2 linked regions of the Sus scrofa genome follow. The protein of the gene in region 1 binds, or shares a complex with, the protein of each later gene. Links are inferred from orthologs where the notes say so. Each region holds a gene or a part of one and is shown on either strand. Other genes may lie near its edges.

What was found.
Region 2: the proteins of ZC3HAV1 (region 1) and KHNYN are in contact, whole or in part, in a crystal structure (PDB 9BGL), measured with the Homo sapiens proteins. The link is inferred for Sus scrofa from reciprocal best matches to the Homo sapiens genes ZC3HAV1 and KHNYN. Residues at the interface, in NP_064504.2 of Homo sapiens: Glu5, Val6, Cys8, Phe9, Lys12, Ile13, Ala16, His17, Glu29, Ile30, Ala31, Leu32, Leu113, Glu115, Phe118, Ser127, Gly128, Leu129, Asn130, Glu133; in NP_001277186.1 of Homo sapiens: His651, Lys652, Asp654, Phe655, Gln658, Arg659, Pro661, Tyr662, Asn677, Phe678.

What each region holds. Positions count from the first base shown.
Region 1 is NC_010460.4:10,525,996-10,536,621, forward strand, and holds the start of ZC3HAV1 (zinc finger CCCH-type antiviral protein 1), read left to right. Parts: upstream 1-3,810; 5' UTR 3,811-6,014; exon of another isoform or gene 6,015-6,161; 5' UTR 6,162-6,526; coding exon 6,527-6,834; intron 6,835-10,626.
Region 2 is NC_010449.5:74,866,554-74,877,014, forward strand, and holds the start of KHNYN (protein KHNYN), read right to left. Parts: upstream 5,932-10,461; 5' UTR 5,613-5,931; coding exon 5,501-5,612; intron 1,891-5,500; exon of another isoform or gene 751-1,890; coding exon of another isoform or gene 553-750; intron 199-552; coding exon of another isoform or gene 79-198; intron 1-78. Other genes in the region: CBLN3 (cerebellin-3 precursor), read left to right, coding at 79-198, 553-750.

The sequences.
Region 1 (10,626 bases):
AATGGTCAGAGACGCAGCTGAAGCTCTGGCATGGAGGCAATTCACTGCAGTGACGACGTTTCCTCCAGGGCATCAGAGCCTACGCCTTCCATCAGAGAATGTCTACGGTGCTGGGTTCCCAACAGAGGGAAGACCTTGGGGAAGCATGAGTGGCCCCAGCTAGTATCTTTCTAATGACTGGTTGGGGAGGAAGAAATTTTCCTCTTCTCTTCCAGGTTCTTCTGGCTGGTCTAAGAATTAAATTGACATGGGACAGATGAATAGGAGAAAAAATCACCCGAAGCTGAATAATATGTATACATGGGAGAGATACAGAAAAACTGAATAACTCCCCCCCAAGAGCTGAAAGCCTCACATTTTTATTTTTATGTTTTTTCTTTTTCTTTTTAGGGCCGCAGTTGCAGCTTATGGAAGTTCCCAGGCTAGGGGTCAAATTGGAGCTACAGCTGCTGGTCTACACCACAGCCACAGCACAGCAGATCCAAGCTGCGTCTGTGACACAAACTGCAGCTCATGGCAATGCCGGATTCTTAACCCTCGGAGCTAGGCCAGGGATTGAACCCACATCTTCATGGATCCTAGTCAGGATGGTTACTGCTGAGCTAAGACAGGAGCTCCTGACAGCCTCACCTTAAATACCATCTTTAGCTGAAGACAAAAGAGAACAGAGTTCCCTGATGGCCTAGCAGCTGAGGACCTGATGTTTGTCACTGCTATGGCTCTGGTTTGATCCCTGGCTGGGAACTTGTGCATGCACCAAGTGTGGCCAAAAAAAAAAAAAAAGAAAAAGAAAAAGAAACACCAAAGAGGAGGTTGGGGGTAGTGGTGCAAATATTTGGTAAATAAATGTTTGCTGGGTCAGCAGAGACAAGGGGACACAGAGTAGACTCTGACCTCTAGGCCCTGCTGAGAATGTCCCCTGCCACACCGAGCCCATTCTCTTTGCAGATATCTCTGGTGATAACTCTAGCTTGGGAACATGCCCTACATCTAAATTTCTTTTAGGCAGCTGAGGAAAAGCTCACAGTTTCTTCCTGAGTCTTTCAGGCCTTGATTATTTTCAGCTTGACATAATCCGCATGCTAGAGACATTTTGGGGGTGGCAAGTTTTGCTCTCCTACAAATCCACTGGGCTTCCCTGTACCCATAAGTCCAGGTTCTACAAAATTAGAGGCTTTGGTCTCCCCAAAGGGGCACATTCTTGCCCGGGGATACAGCAAAGATCCCACTGGACTAAAAGTTACAGCTGCCACCAGGCACTTTGACCTCCTAATGGTAAGAGACCTGCAGGTGAAACAAGGAATCATTGGCAATCGATGACCTTCTCAGAGGAGGGAGGGCTGCTGTGGGAGGGGCAGGGAGGAATACCTGTGCACTCCAGTGATCTATTTGGGTGTCAGCTGGTACTCTTTTACCCAGATACGACTGTGAATGTTCAAGACAAGAGCAGCAACGGTGATGTAAGAAGGTGCTCAGATCACTTAGGAATGTGGATTTGGGGTACCACCCAGGTGAGCTACTGAGACCACCTTAGGTGGGAGTGAGGGGAAATTAGAAGTGGACAGTGGTGCCATCATCAAAAAGTCCACAAATTGGAGTTGCCATCATGTCTCAGCAGTAATGAACCCGACAAGTATCCATGAGGACACAGGTTTAATCCCTGGCTTTGCTCTGTGGGTTAAGGATCTGGGTTGCCATGAGCTGTGGTGTAGGTCGTAGACGTGGCTCGGATCTGGCATTGCTGTGGCTGTGGTGTAGGCCGGCAGCTGCAGCTCCGATGGAACCTTAACCTGGGAACCTCCATATGCTGTGGGTGTGGTCCTAAAAAGCAAAAAAAAAAGCAAAAAAAAAAAAAAAAGGCTACAAATAATAAATGCTGGAGAGGTTGTGGGGAAAAGGAACCCTCCTACTGTCGGTGAGAATGTAATCTGGCTTATCCACTATGAAGAACAATATGGAGGTTCCTTAAAAAGCTAGAAGTAGAGTTATCATATGATCCAGCAATAAAAGATGGAAGCCCTAATTCAAAAAGATACATGCACCCCAATGTCCATAGCAGCCCAACTAACAATAGCCAAGACCCAGAAGCAACCTAAGTATCCATTAACAGAAGAATGGATAATGAAGATGTGGCATATATATATATATATATGGAGAGAGAGAGGAACACTCTTCAGCCATAGAAAAGAATGAAGGAATGCCATTTGTAGCATGAATGGACCTAGAGATTATCATACTAAGTAAAGTAAGTCAGACAGAGACATATTATATGATATCACTTATATGAGGAATCTAAAAAAAATAGTACAAATGAACTTATTTACAAAACAGAAATAGACTCAAAGAAAACAAACTTATGGTTACCAAAGGAGAAGGGGGGAGGGATAAATTGGGAGTGTGAGATTAACAGATGCACACTACTATATATAAAATAGGTAAACAACAAGGATTTACTGTACAGCACAGGGAATTATAGTCAATATCTTATAATAAACTATATCAGAAATGAATAGAAAAAAATAGATTTACACGTATGTATAACGGAATCACTTTGCTGTATACCTGAAACTAACACAATATTGTCAATCAACTATGTGCCAATCCAAAAAGAAAGAGAGGGAGTTCCCCTCATGGCTCAGCTGTTAACGAACCCGAATCCGAACCCGCCTGGGATCCATGAGGATGCCGCACTTTCCATATATAGAAGTTCTCCGGCCAGGGATCCATCAGATCTGAGTCACAGCTGCCAACTATGCCACAGCTGTGGCAACACTGGATCCTGGTGCATTGCACTGGGCCAGGGATGGAACTCTGCTGCTGCAGAGACAACGCCAAATTCTTAACTCAATCCGCCACAGCAGGAACTCCCTTAACTTCCCTTTTTTAAGTGTCCTTTCAGTAAGGACAGCCCATCGTGGCTGTGAAAAAAACTGAAGAAATAGATCCCCGTGGCACAAAGAGAGGACCAGATCTGACACAGAAGTCCCTCAGATTTCCCTTCAAGCCAAGGCTTGCTGCCCAGCTGCAAGGAGGGTTTTTAGATGAGAGCCTCCAGCTTTAGCTTCTTCAGGATTCACTTTAGTGACTGCACTGAAGTCAGGTACGTCTCCAGTGACCCCTGCCAATGACCAACCAAGGCAGTGGTAAAAGGATCTAGGTTTTTCTGCCCAAGCTAGACTCTGGCTCCTGTTGGGCCCACCGTAGACTTTGTCAGGGCTGCATCGCAGTCTGACAGCCCCCAGACCAACCCTTCTTCCCTTGACTTTCTCTGGTGTTACCCCCCAGGACAGCGTCTGTACCCTTAATTCCTTATCAGTGCCTGCTTCCTAGACAGCCCAATACAAATGGCGCAATGCCTGCTTTTTCCCTCTCAACATTGTTTCACAGGGTCTCAAATTGAGAAAAATTTTATAATCGTTGTTCCCTACCGCTCAAACCAAACTGTACTGTCTGTGGTCTGTGCATGCAGGTTGGAAAGAAGAATTTTCCAGACTCGTAGTGGAGGGGGTATGTGAAAAGAAAGAAGAGTTTATTGGAGTTCCTATTGTGGTGCAGCGGAAACGAATCCGACTAAGAACCATGAGGTTGAGGGTTCGATCCCTGGCTTCTATCAGTGGGTTAAGGATCTGGCGTTGCCGTGAGCTGTGGTGTAGGTCACAGATGCGGCTCAGATCTGGCATTGCTGTGGCTCTGGCTCTGGCATAGGCTGGCAACTGTAACTCTGATTAGACCCCTAGCCTGGGAACCTCCATATGCCATGGGCTCTGCCGTCAAAAAAGACAAAAGACAAAAAAAAGAGTTTATTGAGATGAGAGACGCTGTTAACACAGTGGGCCAAATTCCTGATAATCAGGGAGAGCCGACTCAGAAGAGAGGAGCTTCAGATGAGAGATGCTGTACTTGCACCCGACGATGTGCTGATGATCTGAGAGAGCCAAGGCTGAAGGCATGGCCATGTCCATTTTTTTTTTTTTTGTCTTTTTAGGGCTGTATTTGTGGCATATGGAGGTTCCCAGGCTAGGGATTGAACCGGAGCTGTAGCTGCTGGCCTACACAGGTTGCTCAAGGTGGGGGAAGGGGCATTACAGTGAGACCGGTGGGGTGATGCTAAGGGTCTGGTCATCACTTGAATTCAGTCTCCTCGAAGGGGACTTGAAGTCTAACAGTACTCTAGACGCCAGTCTCCTGTATACCCTTTGCAGCATTTAATCATGGATGTCCCTTACATTTTCATGTCTTCCCAAACACAAGTTCCTTGAGAGCAGGGATTATTTCGTAAACTTCTGTCATTTATTTTATTTTTGCTTTTTAGGGCCACACCCGAGGCATACGCAAGTTCCCAGGCTAGGAGTTGAATCGGAGCTACAGCTGCTGGCCTACACTACAGCCACAGCCACGCCAGATCTGAGCTGCATCTGCGACCCCATGGCTCATGGCAACGCTGGATCCTTAACCCACTGAGCGAGGCCGGGGATGGAACACGCATCCTCATGAATAGTAGTCGGATTCGTTTCCCCTGGACCACAGCAGGAACTTATTTTGTGAGCTTCCGTATGCCCACAGAGACCGACTAACTTATGAGCCACACAAAAGATGTTATGATGAATTTAATTGATTTGATATTGAAAGCCCAGACCCTGGGAATCTGTCAGATTATAAATCAGGCCACGTGGATTAAAGGTAACTATAAATCAGGCCATCTGTTGCTATAAAGTAATAGGTAGAGGGATGATCTGGTTGAGCTCAGTTTAGGCTGGTTTTCATAACAAAATGCTCTATACCTGAGAGACGTGGTTCGCCAACCAAGAACTGCCAATCTGAGGAGAACACCCAGTGATCATTTTACAGATTTTCTAGTTTGACAACTGGATTCTACCATTAAAAAAAAAAAGGTTTATTACCTATCTGATCAATGACCCATTTATTTCACTTGGGAATGTTGGAAGGAAAAAGGAAAAACTTTTTCCCTCCGCCACATGAGTCCATTGATTGGATCCTGCAAATTAACTGACAATAGATTAACAGGAGAAAAGGCAAAATTTATTTAGCATTGGGCGGGGGGGACTTCTAATAATGGAAACCTCCAGTGAAGGACTAAAGTAACTTTATATCTCTCAGTTTAACAAAAGGGAGGTTTTTAGGACTACAGTGGGAGAGTAGGGAAGGTTCTGCCGGGCTTTTTGATGCTAATGGCAATGGTTGATCTGTCTTCACCGCAACTGAATTAGCAGGAAACTCCCTTGGAAGGAGGTTAAGGGCAGCTGTACGTTAGGTAGGTTCTGCTTTATTCAGATTTGGAGCAGTTCAGATAAGATTTCTTTCTTCATCTTCTGTAGCTGAAACGTTTTCACTTTAAAATAATCCTAATACCAAGCCTGGGGGTGCAAGTGGGTTCCCACCGAAGGAAAAGATCTTGTCCAAACATCCGAGAAGAGGAACCTAATCTCAAGTCTTGGGATGTGTCTGAGCATGCCCGACGGTGACTGACTGCTATCCGATATTTAGCCTTGTGTGGGTCTCAGCGTCTGAGACACCTCTGTTCGCGATTATAGACAGGCAAGAATGTGTCAAGAAGCAGTTCTTCAAAAAGCTCCCGAGAGGAATTCCCCTGTGGCACAGCAGGGTAATCAACCAGCATTGACAGAGCAGCCTCTCTGGTCGCTGCGGTGGCGTAGGTTCGACTCCGGGAACTTCCACATGCCTCCATAATATAAATAAATACATACAAAAAGTTATGAGAAGGCAAAATAGGGGAAACCAATAATCACTGGCCTTTAAGAAGGCAGGGTGGTGTGGGAGAAAGTGCATAGCAGTCCCGGCCAATCTGGAGCCTGGGGGCCAGATTTGGGGAACATCCGGCTTGAGGGACGGCTGTTGTGTGCTCAGGTTACTTCCTCAAATAGAGCGAAGATAACAATATCTAGCTAGTGCAATAACTAGCTAGTACTAGTTGTGAAGACTCACCAATACAGGAGGCAGGGCGCCGGCTGGGAGCAAGTCAAGGGCTCACTCGGGTCTGTGCTTGGCGGGGATGGGGGGGGTGGTGGAGAATAGAAGACTCCTCAAGAGGGCTCCCAAGACTCGCGTTATTCGCCACTTGGGCTGGCTTTAAAACTCCCTCAGAGCCCCGAGATGATTTTTAGTTTCTCTTCTCTCCGAAGCAGCCTCGCGGTGCCCAGCTGGGGAACCTGACCTTCGCGGAGCAGAGAACCGAGAGGGAGCCGTCCGACTGTCGCCGGCGGATTAGTCCCAGCCTGTTCGCTCTCTTTCCAGTTGCTCGCCGTCGCGATTGATTTTAAGTTGACACAAGGACCGGGTCGGTGCGATCTGGACTCTCGACCCAAGCCTTGGAGGAAACCGAAACCTCCGGGCTCAGCTAACAGCGGCGGAGAGCGCACGCTCGCTCGCTCGCCCCGGGCGCGCCCAGCCCGCGCGCCGCCCGCTCCCGCCCCCGGGATTCTAGTAAGTTTCGATTCTCCCCAGAGCGGAGTCCCGCGCCGCCGCGGCCAGGCCAGCGCAGGGAGCCATGGCTGACCCGGGGGTGTGCTGCTTCATCACCAAAATCCTGTGCACCCACGGGGGCCGTATGGCCCTGGAGGAGCTGCTGCAAAAGGTGAAGCTCTCCGAGGCGCAGCTCTGCGAGGTGCTGACAACCGCCGGGCCCGACCGCTTCGTGCTGTTGGAGACCGGCGGCAAGGCGGGGGTCACCCGGTCCGTGGTGGCCACCACTCGAGTCCGGGTCTGCCGTCGCAAGTACTGCAACAGACAGTGCGGCAACCTGCACCTCTGCAAGCTCAACCTGTTGGGCCGGTGCCACTATTCGCAGTCGGAGCGGTGAGTGCCCTGAGCGGGAGGGGCGGCTCCCCGGGTGGTGGTCGGGGAGGACTCGCGGCTGCTGCTCCGGGAGGGGCGCGCCCTCGCGGGGACCTCGCACCCCGTGCCGCGTCCTCCAGACGTTCACATCTTCGCTCCCCTTCTTGCTGGGCCCGCGCTTCTTCGCCTGGAGGGTCCTTTCCTTCGGGCGCCGTCAGACCTTTCCTGAATATGGCTAGCGCGCTATTGCCCTGGTGGAGACGACGATTAACCCCACGTCCTTAAGAATAAAGTACTTTTGGGTAAACCGGGGCCTAGAGAATTTGGAAGCAGGTTTGGGAAGGAAAGAAAATGCCCCCACTCTCTGGAATCTTGAGTCTTTCCCTCTCGGTCCCTCCGCACACACCCCCCCGCCCCCCGCCCCGCTCCAGCTCCCAGGCGTTCTGTGGTCTTTGCATCCGATTCTCTCTCCACCGCAGAGGGTCCCTGCTTGGCCCTCCATCGGTGCCTCCTTTCTCCTCGTTATCATTCTTCTGATATCTGACTGTAGACCGCACCACCAGACTAGAATGGTCCCATTCAAGGTCATTGATGATGGGTCCTCCACCAGAGTTGCTTCCCCAAGACCCCCCCACCCCCACCCCGTGGTGACTCACACGGTTGACCACCCACTCTTGGGACCACTTTGAACAGGGTGGCAGATCTCCCGGGCAGCTGCTTCTGTGTTTCCACTTGTTCTTTTTTGCCTCCTGATACCGATGTGGCCCAAGGTTTGGGTTAAGCCTTTTGACGTACCTGTCTGCCAAGTCTCCCCGTGGGAGCACTCTCCCTTTGGGTTCAGTTGTCACATGTACAAAGATGGCCTCCTTGTGTACATTCGCTGTCCAGGCCTTCCTGCTGATTCTAGGTTCTTGTCTCCCGGTGTCTGAGGAGCATCTGTGCCTGCATATCTTGTCAATAGGAGTCAAATTCATCCTCTGACATGCCCCCCAACCTCTTCTGCTTCACAGTACTTTCGGGACCCCTTAATCACCCAGCCCTCCTGTTCCTGTCAGGTTCCTACTTCTCATCTCACTTCTAAATGAATGCCTTGTTGAATGAATGAGTGACTTCCTCAAACTGTCGTCTTTCTCCTCACTTTTTCTATCTGTATGTACTTCTGCTAAATTACTTTTCCTGATGTAGTACTTTTCACACTTCACCCACCCCTCCTTAAAACTTGAAGTGGTGTCTTAGTGCCCAAAAAGGGTGATCATCAAACTTTTTGTGATGCACGAATGGGCAAAAACCTTTAGATCACTCACCCCCAGTATTTGTGATAAAACAGTACAAAAAGAGATGTTTTAAATGGATGAAGTAAATGAGATGTTTTCAAAAGTTTTGTTTAGAGTAGAACTGTTAAAAAAATTTAAAAATAATGCTCTGTTGCTGTTAAAAAATATTTATTGCGTACGTTGTGATGCAACAACCGCAAAGTCTGTTTGTGAGTTTCAGGAAGTTATGCGCAGGGAAGGAGTCATCTAAGTCAGCAAGGGATGAAATCAGGAAGGAGGGAAGGAGGGAAGAAAGTAGAGAATAGAAAAGCAGAAGGAACTTTCTAAGCACTCTACTGAGTAACAATGGAGATGGAGGAGTTCCCGTCATGGCGCAGCGGAAAAAAATCCAAGAAACATGAGGTTTCGGGTTCGATCCCTGGCCTTGCTCAGTGGGCTAAGGATCCGGTGTTGCCATAAGCTGTGGTGTAGGTCGCAGATGCAGCTTGGATCTGGCTTTGCTGTGGCTCTGGCGCAGGCTGGCAGCTCCAGCTCCAGTTAGACCTCTAGCCTGGGAACCTCCATATGCTGTGGGTGCTGCCCTAAAAAGCAAAACACATACACACACACACACACACACACAACAATGGAAATGGAAGACTTTGTTATTTTTTCTGTTCTGTTGTGAAAAGTTGGTCACTAGTTAGCGTTGACTTTTGGTTTTAAATACATAGGCTTCTTATCTTTTAATTTTTCACTATGAGTATTTTCAACATACACTAAAGCAGAGAAAAGAGAATGATGAACCCCCCTGTGGCCATCGTTTCATTTCAGCAGTTTTCAAAAATGGCCGTCATTTATTCTCCCCTCCCAGCCCTATCCCCAACTCCAGCGTGTTATTTTAAACCAAATACCAGAGATCATTTGCTTCATAAATGCTTTGGCATCACCAAAAATGAAGATCTCTATTTTATTAATATACCCACGGTACAATGATCGCTTTCTTTTACAATTTTGAGGCATTCCCGTCGTGGCTCAGCAGAAACGAGTCTGACTAGTATCCATGAGGTTGCAGGTTCGAACCCTGGCCTCGATCCTCTGGTTAAGGATCCGGTGTTGTGGTGAGCTGTGGTGTAGGTCGCAGACGCAGCTTGGATCCATTGTTGCTGTTGCTGTGGCTGTGGTGTAGGCTGACAGCTGCAGCTCCAATTTGACCCCTAGCCTGGGAACCTCCATAAAAAGACAAAAAAAAATTAAAATTTTGATATCACATAGTATCCAGTTGGTGTTCAAATTTCTCTGAAATCCAACTTGCATTTTCAGGGGAAAAAACCCTACACAGACATAATCAAAAATTGTTTTAGTATGTTACAATCTAATATATTTAGAAACTTTGTTTTAATTTGTTATACATATATGTTTAGAAATTTTAGTTTTTTTGTTTATTATTTTGTTGTTGGTTTGAAACATCAGAACCATTTTAAACTTCTAAATTGGGTAGTTAACCTGCAATTTTCTATGTTTTAAAAGAGGAATGATATGGTCTATATGAATAAATGGTCTGTAGGAATAATTTGGTCTATGTAAATTTGGAGGATTCTCTGGGAAATTTATTAAAGCCCCCCCTTTTTTTGGTTGAGTGATAAATTCTTATTTCTTAAATGTATCGGTCTAGTTACATTTTTTATTTCTTTGGACATCACTTTTGAGTTTGGAAATTGCATTTTTTTTTTTTTTTTGTCTTTTTAGGGCCGCACGCATGGCATACGGAAGTTCCCAGGCTAGGGGTCCAGTCGGAGCTACAGCTGCCCGCCTACGCCAGAGCCACAGCAACACCAGATCCAAGCCATGTCTGCGACCTACACCACAGCTCACAGCAATGCCGGATCCTTAACCAACTGAGTGAGGCCAGGGATGGAACCCTCGTCCTCATGGATGCTAGTCAGATTTGCTTCTGCTGAGCCACAACGGGAACTCCGGAAATTGCACATTTTAAATCCAGTAATGTATACTCTGTCTTCATAAGGCCTCGGGAAAATTCTTTTTCTTTTATCTCAAAGCCTAAGAAATACATTTTTCCGCCAATTACGTCTTAAAATATTCTCCTCCTCTTAGCAGCTTATAAAACCTCATCTTCTAAAACTCGGCACATGGGCATCTAAGGGTTTTCTTTGTGGATTATAGGTGGATTGTTAAGATTGGTTAAGATTGTTGATCTCTGTTGAGATGACCATTCTGTTCAGTAACTGTTCTGTTTGCCAGAGGACAATTTCCCTTTTGCTGGACTTTTGACTTTTCCTCTGTAATACTATTACTTATAGATGGGATTTCTCCTGTCAATTCTGCAGTTCCAGCCTTTTCTCTTCCATTGTTTGAGCTGTATATACATTTTCGTTAACCACAGGGCTGGCTTCTGCATTGGATAGTTAGTTTTGGTCCATTGGTTTGGGTATTTCTTTTTGCTTTGCTGAAATACATGTGCACACGTGGAGTTCTCATCCCAGGTCTGACACAAATAATAACTACCAGTTATTGAACAAATAACTATGTACCAAGCACT
Region 2 (10,461 bases), on another chromosome or scaffold:
GCCCCTTTCCCCAACCCCGTGGTTTCCCTGAGCCCCAGGCATCCCTGAGCCCTACTCAGCAGGGTCTGCTTCCCACAGGTCCTGGTGAACGAGGGCGGTGGCTTTGACCGAGCCTCAGGCTCCTTCGTGGCCCCTGTCCGAGGTGTCTACAGCTTCCGGTTCCATGTGGTGAAGGTGTACAACCGCCAAACTGTCCAGGTGACCTGAATACTAGGCCCTGTCCTATCTCCAACTCCTGGGGCGGAGGGCGGGGGGGTCAGGGTAAGAGGAGGGGAAATAAGTGGAGCCCAGCTGACCCCCAGGCAGACCTCCATTGACCTGTGTCCTGGGAGGCCAAGAGCAAGGGGGGAACGGACCTACCTAACAGAGCGTGTGATAGAGGTCCAGAGTCCAACATGGGCCACCCCGCAGCCCTCCCAGGTGGGTGCACTGTCCAGGTTCCCAGGTATTAGCGTGTCCCTCTGGGGCTGGAGAGAAGGGAGAAAGCCCTCAAGAGAGTGGGGTCCTGGGGCGAGGGGCAGGGACAGGTGCTAACTGGGCTTCCCTCTGCAGGTAAGCCTGATGCTGAACACATGGCCTGTCGTCTCGGCCTTTGCCAATGACCCAGACGTGACCCGGGAGGCAGCCACCAGTTCTGTGCTACTGCCCCTGGATCCTGGGGACCGGGTGTCTCTGCGCCTGCGTCGAGGGAACCTACTCGGTGGCTGGAAATATTCGAGCTTCTCTGGCTTCCTCATTTTCCCACTCTGAGGGCTGAAGCTTTTCAAAGACAGAAATCTAGCCCCTGACCTCTGCCCTCTACCCTTTCCTGCCCCAGAAGCAGTCTCTTTAGGGCAGGAGAAAGACTCCCTCTGGCTGCCTTTATTCCACTGCCTTGCATGGGACCCTGTGCCAAACATCCAAGGTGAGGAGTAGAGCTGCAGTGTCTTGGGACCTGTCCCTCTTACCCCACCCCCACAGTTGCCTCCCAGCCTCCCACTGCCTTGATTTCTGCCTGCAGCCCTAGAATCAGAGCAAGATTTTCCAGGGAGGGAGGCGTAGACTACTTTGCAGTCTCTGCTTCCTGTCCTCCACCCCCAACCCAGCTTCCCGCTCAGTGCTATTTGGGAACAGGTGGTACAGGTGAGCCTGACAGGCCCCTACAGGGGACCAGATGGACCAGCTTCAGCATATCCGGCAGGCTCCTTCCTGTGAGGAGTGCCAGCATCACAAATCATACTCAGAAGCTGAGCCAGCACTGCGAGGACTAGGGCCAGAGGCTTAGCCACCAGCAGATGCATGGTAAGGGCCACAGAGCAGCCCAGAGCCTGTAGCTGGTAAGGCAGGAAGGGGGCGTGCCCTCAGCCTGAACATGGTACACATTTTTTTGTGTACATTGGAGCCACCAGCAGATAGTGAACCCCAGGCATTTATCTGTGCCAGATCCCAGGTGGACTCTGCCCCTCACCTCCCCATCCAAGACATGGATATATGTTTGCTTTGGCAGAGAGCAGGTAAACAGAGCTTCCTTTGGCAGCTGGAGGTGGAGGCAGGTCACATGTGGGCAAGTATAGATCTCCAGGCCATGGAACACATCAATGCCTGTGGCCGCCTCCTAGAACTGCTCCATCTATGTAGTCGGAACTTTCATCACTCCATGCTCTCCCCATCACCTCCTTCCTCCCAGCTCTCTCAGTGACCTTCACTGTAGCTGTTCTACACTGACCTGCAACGTCTCCTCTTTCTCTTAATTTGTGCCGTCTTAGTCTCCTTCCTAAACTTCCTATTACCTTGGATGCCATGATTCATCCCTTCAGCCACTCTCCTGCCAGTATTAAAAAACTTGTGTCACCTCTCTGTCCCATTGGCCCAGCATGGATGAATCTATCAATAAAGTAATTAGAGAATGATGGTCAATGAGACCCTATAGGATCACTAGAGAGAGAAGATGCCATCACAATTGGGTTCAGGGGTTACAAGAGACCAGCAGGTATATGTTGTAGAGAAAATAAATGTAAATTCATATGTTAGAGTCAAATTTAAAAAAAAGGATTTGGTAGTACTTGAGTTAAAGAGGAAATACCAATGTGAGTTTGTGGTTTCCAAAAGAAATAACTTTTTCAAATTTTGTCACTAAAGTAGTGTAGGAACAACATCAGGAAAAATCTAATATGCATTCTTAGCACCTGGATCTTTGCCTCAACTATTATTCACCTTTAAAAGGACTCACGGTCCCTTGGAGAATAGCTCATCATAAATAACTCTAGGCTTGGAACATACTATTGAAGACAAAAATCAAAGATATTTTTTGAATGTAAGGGGTAGAGCTGAGAAGGCATTTCTTGGGCCACTCCTGCGGCATATGGAGGTTCCCAGGCTAGGGGTCGAATCGGAGCTGTAGCCGTTTGCCTACACCAGAGCCACAGCAACACAGGAACCGAGCCACATCTGCAACCTACACCAACGCCGGATCCTTAACCCACTGAGCAAGGCCACGGATCGAACCTGCAACCTCATGGTTCCTAGTCGGATTCGTTAACCACTGAGCCACGATGGGAACTCCAAAGAAACCATTTTAATAGACTTCCACAAACTGACATTTTATGACAATTGGATAATCAAAAGAAAAATGATATAGTTAATTGGAACAAGGTGATTTTTTTTGGCTGCACCCATGGCATGCAGAAGTTCCTGGGCCAGGGATCAAACCCTTGCCACAGCAATGACCCGAGCCATAGCAGTGACAAAGCTGGATCCTTAACCCACTGAGCTGCCAGGGAATTCCACAAGGTGAATTTTTAAAAGCCATGTCTCTGTTGTGATTTTCAAAAGGAAAAAGTAACTATACAATGTGCAAAAAGGTAGTTAATACACTGAGTGAAGAAGTATGACTATTATAGGATATTTTTTAATTAGTTTTGATAAGTAGAAGAGTATAAATATAGTAGATAATTTATCTATTCATAAAGTGCATTTATTTGTCTTTATCTGCATAAGTAGGAAGGGGTGGATCCAGAGAGCTGTGAGTAATTCCAGAAAAAGTTGGAACTGCACCAAAAATGAAAGAGACTGATTGGCACCATCAGGTCAAATAATACAACTAGGAAGAAAGTCCAACAACTTGTTACATGATGATAAATTAGTCAAACTTCCAGAAGCTAACTGCTCACTCCTTAAACTTGATCCTTCACTTCTTGGAAAAGGGAAACTTTATACTACTACCCTACTAATTACAAAGAGATTACAGTAACAGAAAAACCCAAAATAATAATGGCTTAAACAAGGTGGTAGGTTATTTCCCTCTCACACAGAAGAATCTGCAAACAAAGAGTCCAGGGAAGGATGGCAGTTTGATGATCATCAGCCTGGCTTTCTTTATTGCCACCTCCTGACCCAAGATAGCCCCAGCCATTGCATCAACCTTATAGCCCCAAGGAAGGAGGAGGGACTGGCACACCCATTTCCTTTTAAAGAAGCTTTCTGAAAGGTACACCCAACAGTTCTATTTGCATCTCAATGGCCCGAATTTAGTCCTAGCTGGCCACACCAGACAGTGGAGACAGGCTAGGGAATAAAGTCTTTATTCCAGGCAGCCACGCTCAGCTAAAAGTCAGAAGAAGAAAAGATTGGATATTGGGAAAAACAACAAGATTGAGGATGTTTGTAAAAATGCAAATGAGGTAGATAAATTTGAAAATAATGTCAGTAAAGTTATTGTATTAGCTTTCTATTGTTGCATAACAATTACCACAAAGTTACTGCCTTAACACAACTTTGACCTATTTAATATCTGTTTCTATAGGTCAGAAGTCCAGCAGAGCATGATTTGATTCTCTGCTTAGGGTTTCATTAGGTCAAAAGCAAGATGTAGGTAGTAGCCCTGCCTTCTTTACTGAAGTGGAAGAATGCCATTACATCAACCTTATAGCCCCCAGGAAGGAGGAGGGAAGGGCACACCCATTTCCCTCTTGGGTCAGGAGGTGGCAATCATGAATAAAGAATTCACTCAGCATTCATTTCCTTATGGTTGTAGGACTGAGTTTCCTGGCCTCCAGCCTTTGGGTCAATAGTGTCAGGCCAAGTCCTTCTAACAGTTTGAACCTCTCCAACCTAGCTTTCAGCCACATCTCTGACTTTTAAAATTCTCAAATTTAAGGTAATTAGATTGGGCCCACATGGATAAATCAGGATAATCTCTCTGTTTTGAGACCCATAACTTTAATTGCATATGAAAATGTCTCTTTACCATTAAACACAACATATTCGGTGGCTCCAGGGAGTGGGCATAGACATCTCTGGAACATCTGCATATCATAGTCCTTAGACCTAAAAATGACAGGAGATCCTGTTGTGGCTCACTAGGTTAAGAACCTGACTAGTATCCACGAGGATGTGGGTTCAATCCCTGGCCTCACTCAGTGGGTTAAAGTATTTGGCATTGCCACAAGCTGCCTTATAGTTCGCAGACAGGGCTCAGATCTGGCATTGCTGTGGCTGTGGTGCAGGGCAGCAGCTGCAGCTCCGATTGGTCCCCTGGCCTGGAAACTTCCATATGCCAAAGATTCAGCCAAAAAAAAAAAAAAAACCCACAAAACTTAAAGACATCATTTTAAAAAAGAGGCATCCAGTTACATTACACTAATTCATGGAAATGAATGGAAAAGGTACTGGAAAATGAAAATTCCGGTGATATATAAGATAAGCACTGGCTCAGATATTCAACATCTTAAAAGGTAAAGCAGGTCCCAACCAAGAACTCATTGAGTAATAATTCAAAACCTCATCTACACTGAGATACTATTCATCTTTTGTCTATCCAGACTCAAAAATTGGTCTGAACTGAGATAGTGTCCTTCTCCTGGGTCTATAAACCCAATTTTATAGTAAGTGTAGGTGTCATATACTTTATAATCCTTGAAAGGCATGTGCTTTACCAAAAGATTTGATGCCTTTAGAGAAGCTGACATACTACCCTGATGACTCTATTGAAATGTGTAGGAGAATTTAAGTTTTCAGTCAATGTTTAAATGATCTGATTTGTAAAATGTGTAGATTTTGGCTCATTGGTTATATAAATGTTTAGACAATTTTTGCTTAAGCAGGTTTATGAAGCAAATGAGTTAAACAATAAATAAAGCACAGATGGTGGCTAGTGTTCCTCTCCAGGCACTAAAATCTCCTAGGACTTTGAGGAGCCTAAGAATAGAATCCAACTGTCGACCTTTCCTACACCCACGCCCTGGCAGCTGCTTTCTACAGAGAGAAGTCCGGCTGAAGCATTTGCTGCAGCTCTCAATCCATGGTCTCCAGCCACCCCTGGTCCTCAATCCTCCAGTCAATTCTTCTTTGCCAGCTTCTTTCCTCATTCTCCCTGGAATCCAACTGAAGCCTTCTGGTCTCTCAAACCTTTTACCCTCCAACTCTGCCCCCACTGCCAGCAGCAGGTACCTCACTTTCTGCTTCACCAAGAAAGCAGAAGCCCCAGGAGGACCCCTTCCCAATGGCACATCCAGAAACTCACCATCCTCCTCATCTCTCCTTCTTCGCATCTGGCTCAGTAGAAGCTGTGCCCTTTCTTCTGTCAAGGCAGCTATCTTCATCCACCAGCTGTGGATTTCATTTCCTGCAAACATATCCTTTTCCTTTCCTCTTCACCCTCCTGAATGTTCAGTGTCTCCCTCCCTCTCACTGCTTCTGTTTAGCAGTTAAATAGACTCAAGTCTCTTAGGTCTAGACGAGAAAAGGATGGTATGGCAATAGCGGTGGGTATATAGTTATCCTCAGCTTTATATGCCCCCGCAGCTAGTAGACATCACCTCTCCTCTCCTTTAGAGCCAAGTATCTATGCTTACCAGTTGCTCACCCCTTAAGTCAACGGTAGCCTCTGCTGCTCCACCTAAACTGCCCTCAACTGGTCACTCATGACTTCTGTGTCAGTCACCAATGTCACTATCATCCAGTCCTCTGTTACTCAGGCTCTCCCTAACATTTGACTCTGTTGTCCACTCCCTCCTTCTAGAAGCAACTCCCTGCCCCACCTGACTGCATGCTCTGGGTGCTCCCTCCATGTCTCTGCTCAGACCACATTCTTTTTTACGCTCCTGTACTGCTAAACATCTCCCAAATGTCAGTTTTCCTCAAGGTTCTGCCTTAGGATTCCTTTCGTCCTGACACAACCTCGAAAGTACGAATCTCCATCTGTGCTCTGACAATGACCACATTTTTGTCTCTATACAGGACCTCCCTCCTAAATCTCAGACTCCTACACTACCTATCCCACCTTAAAGTCAACCTGCTAAAATTAGTCTGTCCTCCCTAAATCCTGTCTTTCTCCCTTTCTCTGTGTTTAAAAAAGGAACATCCCTGTTGCCCAAGCAGAACCCCAGCCATCATCCTCGATTCCTCTCTGTCCAATCACTCACATCCACCAGGTCCATCCATTGTTTCCCATCCATCCTCTCTCAAATTACCCACATCTCAGAGTTCTTTGAATGCTTCCTAACCCGCACATTGACCTCCAGTTTTGCTTCTCTGAGTCCATTCTCCACACTGAGGTTGCCATAGTGACCTATTTGAATGAACTTCACTGCTAAACCCCTTAAGGGGATCCTGGGGGAGGGGGAGGGTCTAACATCAAATCTATCACTCTGAATGTACTTTTTTTGGGCCTTTGCAATCCAGCTGCTGCAATCTCCCCTGATTCATTTTTCACTACCTACAAGAGTGTGGAAACTTATGAAACAGCACCATTTATTAGCTGAGGGAAAATGGCACCCCTCATGTGTTGGGGGACTGTAGCTGGTGCATTAAATTAAGGATATGCAGAGTATGACTTGCTGAATGAGAAGGTACAAGCCACCACATGGGATCAGTGGGTAGCTCCCTCAGCATCTGAGCTCTCCATTTGAGGAAGTGAAAAACCCATGGTTGTTTTGATTGAAGGTGCAGTACACTCACACAAAGGAAGTGATGTCGTAAGACTTATTACTCACAGATCTCAGAAACCAGGAGGGAGGAGGGGAGGCAATGAACCAGGGGAAGGGCAGTCCTCCATCTCAGTTCATATGTACACAGGATAGCAAGAACTTATTACATGCAAGGTGGTTGGGTTGGAGGTCACTAACTTTATATGAACTCAACTCTAACTGATCTTTCTTTTTCCTTTTTTCTTTTTTCTTTTTCTTTTTTTTTTTTTTTTTTTTTTTTGCTGCACCCCATGACATGTGGAATTTCCTGGGCCAGGGATCAAACTTACGCCACAGCAGTGACCCAAGTCATAGCAATGACAACACCAGATCCTTTAACCACTAGGCCACCAGGGAGCCCTCTAAGCGGTCATTTTAAAAGGTGCCCCAGGTAAAGCAAAGCAGGAATTTGGGACAGGAGTCCTAAACTTGGATCCTTATCTAAATGTCCAGACCCTGGGTTCAAGTAGGGTTGTCGTACTGTAAAATACTTAAGTGGCAACTCAAAATAGCTGTCTTCTCATTATAGCTCAGAAATCGAGGGCATGGCATTCAAGTCAAACTCTATCAGGGCCAAGAGAATCATTCTTGGACCCAACTGAATGGGTCCTATCTCCCCTTAAAGTCAACCTGCTAAAATTAGTCTGTCCTCCCTAAATCAGGTTCTGTTTTAGTTTGTAAATCATCTTAGTCTGGACCAAATTGAAAGAGAAATCTTGATATACATTATATTAATGTATATTCATACATTAATAAAAGTTGAAAAGTCCATAGATTAGTGGGAGGAAAGTAACTCTAGCAACAAAATGACTACACTTGCATGAAAGGCAGTGAACGTGGTGGTGAAGAGGTGGACACTGGAGCCTCTGGCTTAACAGCCACCCATGACCTTCAGAGAGTTACACAACCTCTCTGTGCCTAATTTTCTTCCCCTATCAATGCATTATGTTTCTTTTTAGGGCCACACCTGCAGCATAGGGAGGTTCCCAGGTTAGGGGTTCAATTGGAGCTACAGCTGATGGCCTATGTCAGAGCCACAGCAACTCAGGATCTGAGCCTCATCACTCACAGCACTGCCGGATCCTTAACCCACTGAGCGAGGCCAGGGATGGAACCCACAACCTCATGGTTACTAATTGTATTCATTTCTGCTGAGCCACAATGGGAACTCCTCCCCTATAAATGCAAAGAAATACTGTATCTACCCCCACAGGGTTGGAAAGCACAGAGCAAGTACTCAATATAGGTAAGTTACTGTTACCATACAAATTAGGAAACAAAACTGGTGCCTGTCCAAAGGACTCTAGGACAATCTTTAAAAAGTAGGTAGGATTTTTGTTTTGTTTTATTGTGGCCACTTACCTGTTACAATGCTTCTCTCTTTCAGGCATATTCACTTTTACCTAGAAACAAAAGACATCATAAATGGCCAGTAAGAAAACATGGTATAGCAAAGCTTGGGGGGTCCCCATCTCAATAGACAGTTTGTGGGCTTTTATTGGGGGGGACAGTAAAGGAGAAAAGGTTAGCTTTGTTGCTTTGCCAGGCAAAGGGGGCCACAACAGGCTAATTCCCTAAAGACTGTGTCCCTACTTTGTGGGCTTTCTAACATGAGAATGAGATACAGTGTGGGACTTTCTTTTATTTTGCTTATTTCTGGGACTGCCTGCCTACTGGGGACTTTGTTCTTTTCCTTTTCTTTTTTTTTTTTAATTAAAGTATAGTTGATTTACAATGTTGTGCCAATTTCAACTATACAGCAAAGTGACTCAGATGGGTAGATAGATAGAGACAGAGATATACAGAAATATAGATATATATAATATAGACATAGATATAGACATAGACATAGATATAGATATAGATATAGATATAGATATAGATATATTCCCTACTGGGGACTTTCTCTGTTAGAGACTTGGGAAAGTTCAGCCACCAATGTCCCAGATGAGAAGGGAGATTCATGATGGAGGGAAGCTGTGACTAATAGTCTACGGTGCCCACAGTGCTCAACTGTGGACATGTCTTCTTTATTCACTCCTCTAAAAACAGGAGGAATAATCTCAAATCAGACCTTGTAAATTGTTCAACCCTGCAAAAGAAAAATCTCGCTAAGAGGGCTCAGAAGCCATATGGGTAAAGCCTGATTATTGCTTAAAATTCCCTTGAATAGAAAGTAGAGATTTTGCTAAGTACCTTCCTAATCAATCTTCCACTTAGGAATTCTGAACCTTTCACTCATGCACTGCAGTAGCATATGCATTACTTTGGGGGGGCTGGTGGTGACGGAAGATAAACCTCTCTGAGCTGAGGCTTTGAGCCCCTGTGCTGTGGGCTCCTATGCCAGGTTCTTTCCCTTACCACCCTGCACTGTATTTGCTTGTGGAGTTGCCTCACTTACCTGACCGTGGGCAGAGACCACGCCACTCTCATCACCTGCCGTCTGTTCCACACCTGAACAGGGCCTGGCACACAGAAAGTGCTCTATAAATACTGTGTGACCATGTCTACATGAGCGCCAGGTGTCTGCTTCTTGCTGCTTTTGTCACTTGTTCAAGCTTCTGCTCAGCGCTGGCAGGAGGACGGATCTTTCTTGCCACCCTATCCTCCTGCCAGCACTGAGCAGAAGTTTCAGCAAGTGAGAAAAGCAGCAAGAAGCAGTCGTTGGAAGTCTGGAAGCTTGGCCAAGTTTAGGAAGGTCTTGGAGTCTGAGGGGCAGTAACAGCAAGGCTTCCAAGGTCAGGAAGAAACGTTGGATGGCCTGTGATTTGTCTTGGTCCATTGAGGTTGCTATAACCAAAACACTGTAGACTAAGTGGCTTAAACAACAGAAACTTATATCTCATAGTTCTAGAGGCTGGACATTCAAGATCACGGTGCCAGCAAATCAAGTGTCTGGTGAGAGCCGACTTCCTGCCTGCAGATGGCCGTCTTTTCCTTGTATCTTCAAGTGCTTGAGAGCAAGCGAGCTATCGTTTCTTTGTCTTCTTTTCTTTCTTCTTCTTTTTAGGGCCACCAATGCAGCATATGGAAGTTCTCAGGCTAGGGGTTGAATTGGAGCTGCAGCCATGGTCCACAGCACAGTCACAGCAGTACCACATCCAAGCTGCATCCCAAACCTATGCCACAGCTTGTGGCCATGCCAGATTCTTTAACCCACTGAGTGAGGCCAGGGATCGAACCTGCTTCCTCGTGGATACTAGTCCAGTTTTTGACCTACTGAGCCACAACAGGAACTCCTCTTTGCCTTCCTACAAGGACACTAATCTCATCATAGGGGCTGCACCCTCGCAAATTTATCTAAACTTAATTACCTCCAAAAAGCGCCACCTCCTGATACTATCCCACTAGGGGCTAGGGTTTCCACATGTGAACTTGAGGGACGCAAACATGCAGTCCACCTCATTGATGGAGACTTACTCCATACCCAGCACCATGGTAGCCTCTTTGCGCAGATTATTTCATAAGATCCTTGCACTATCCGTAATTTAGGAATTGTTATCCCGCACTTCATAGA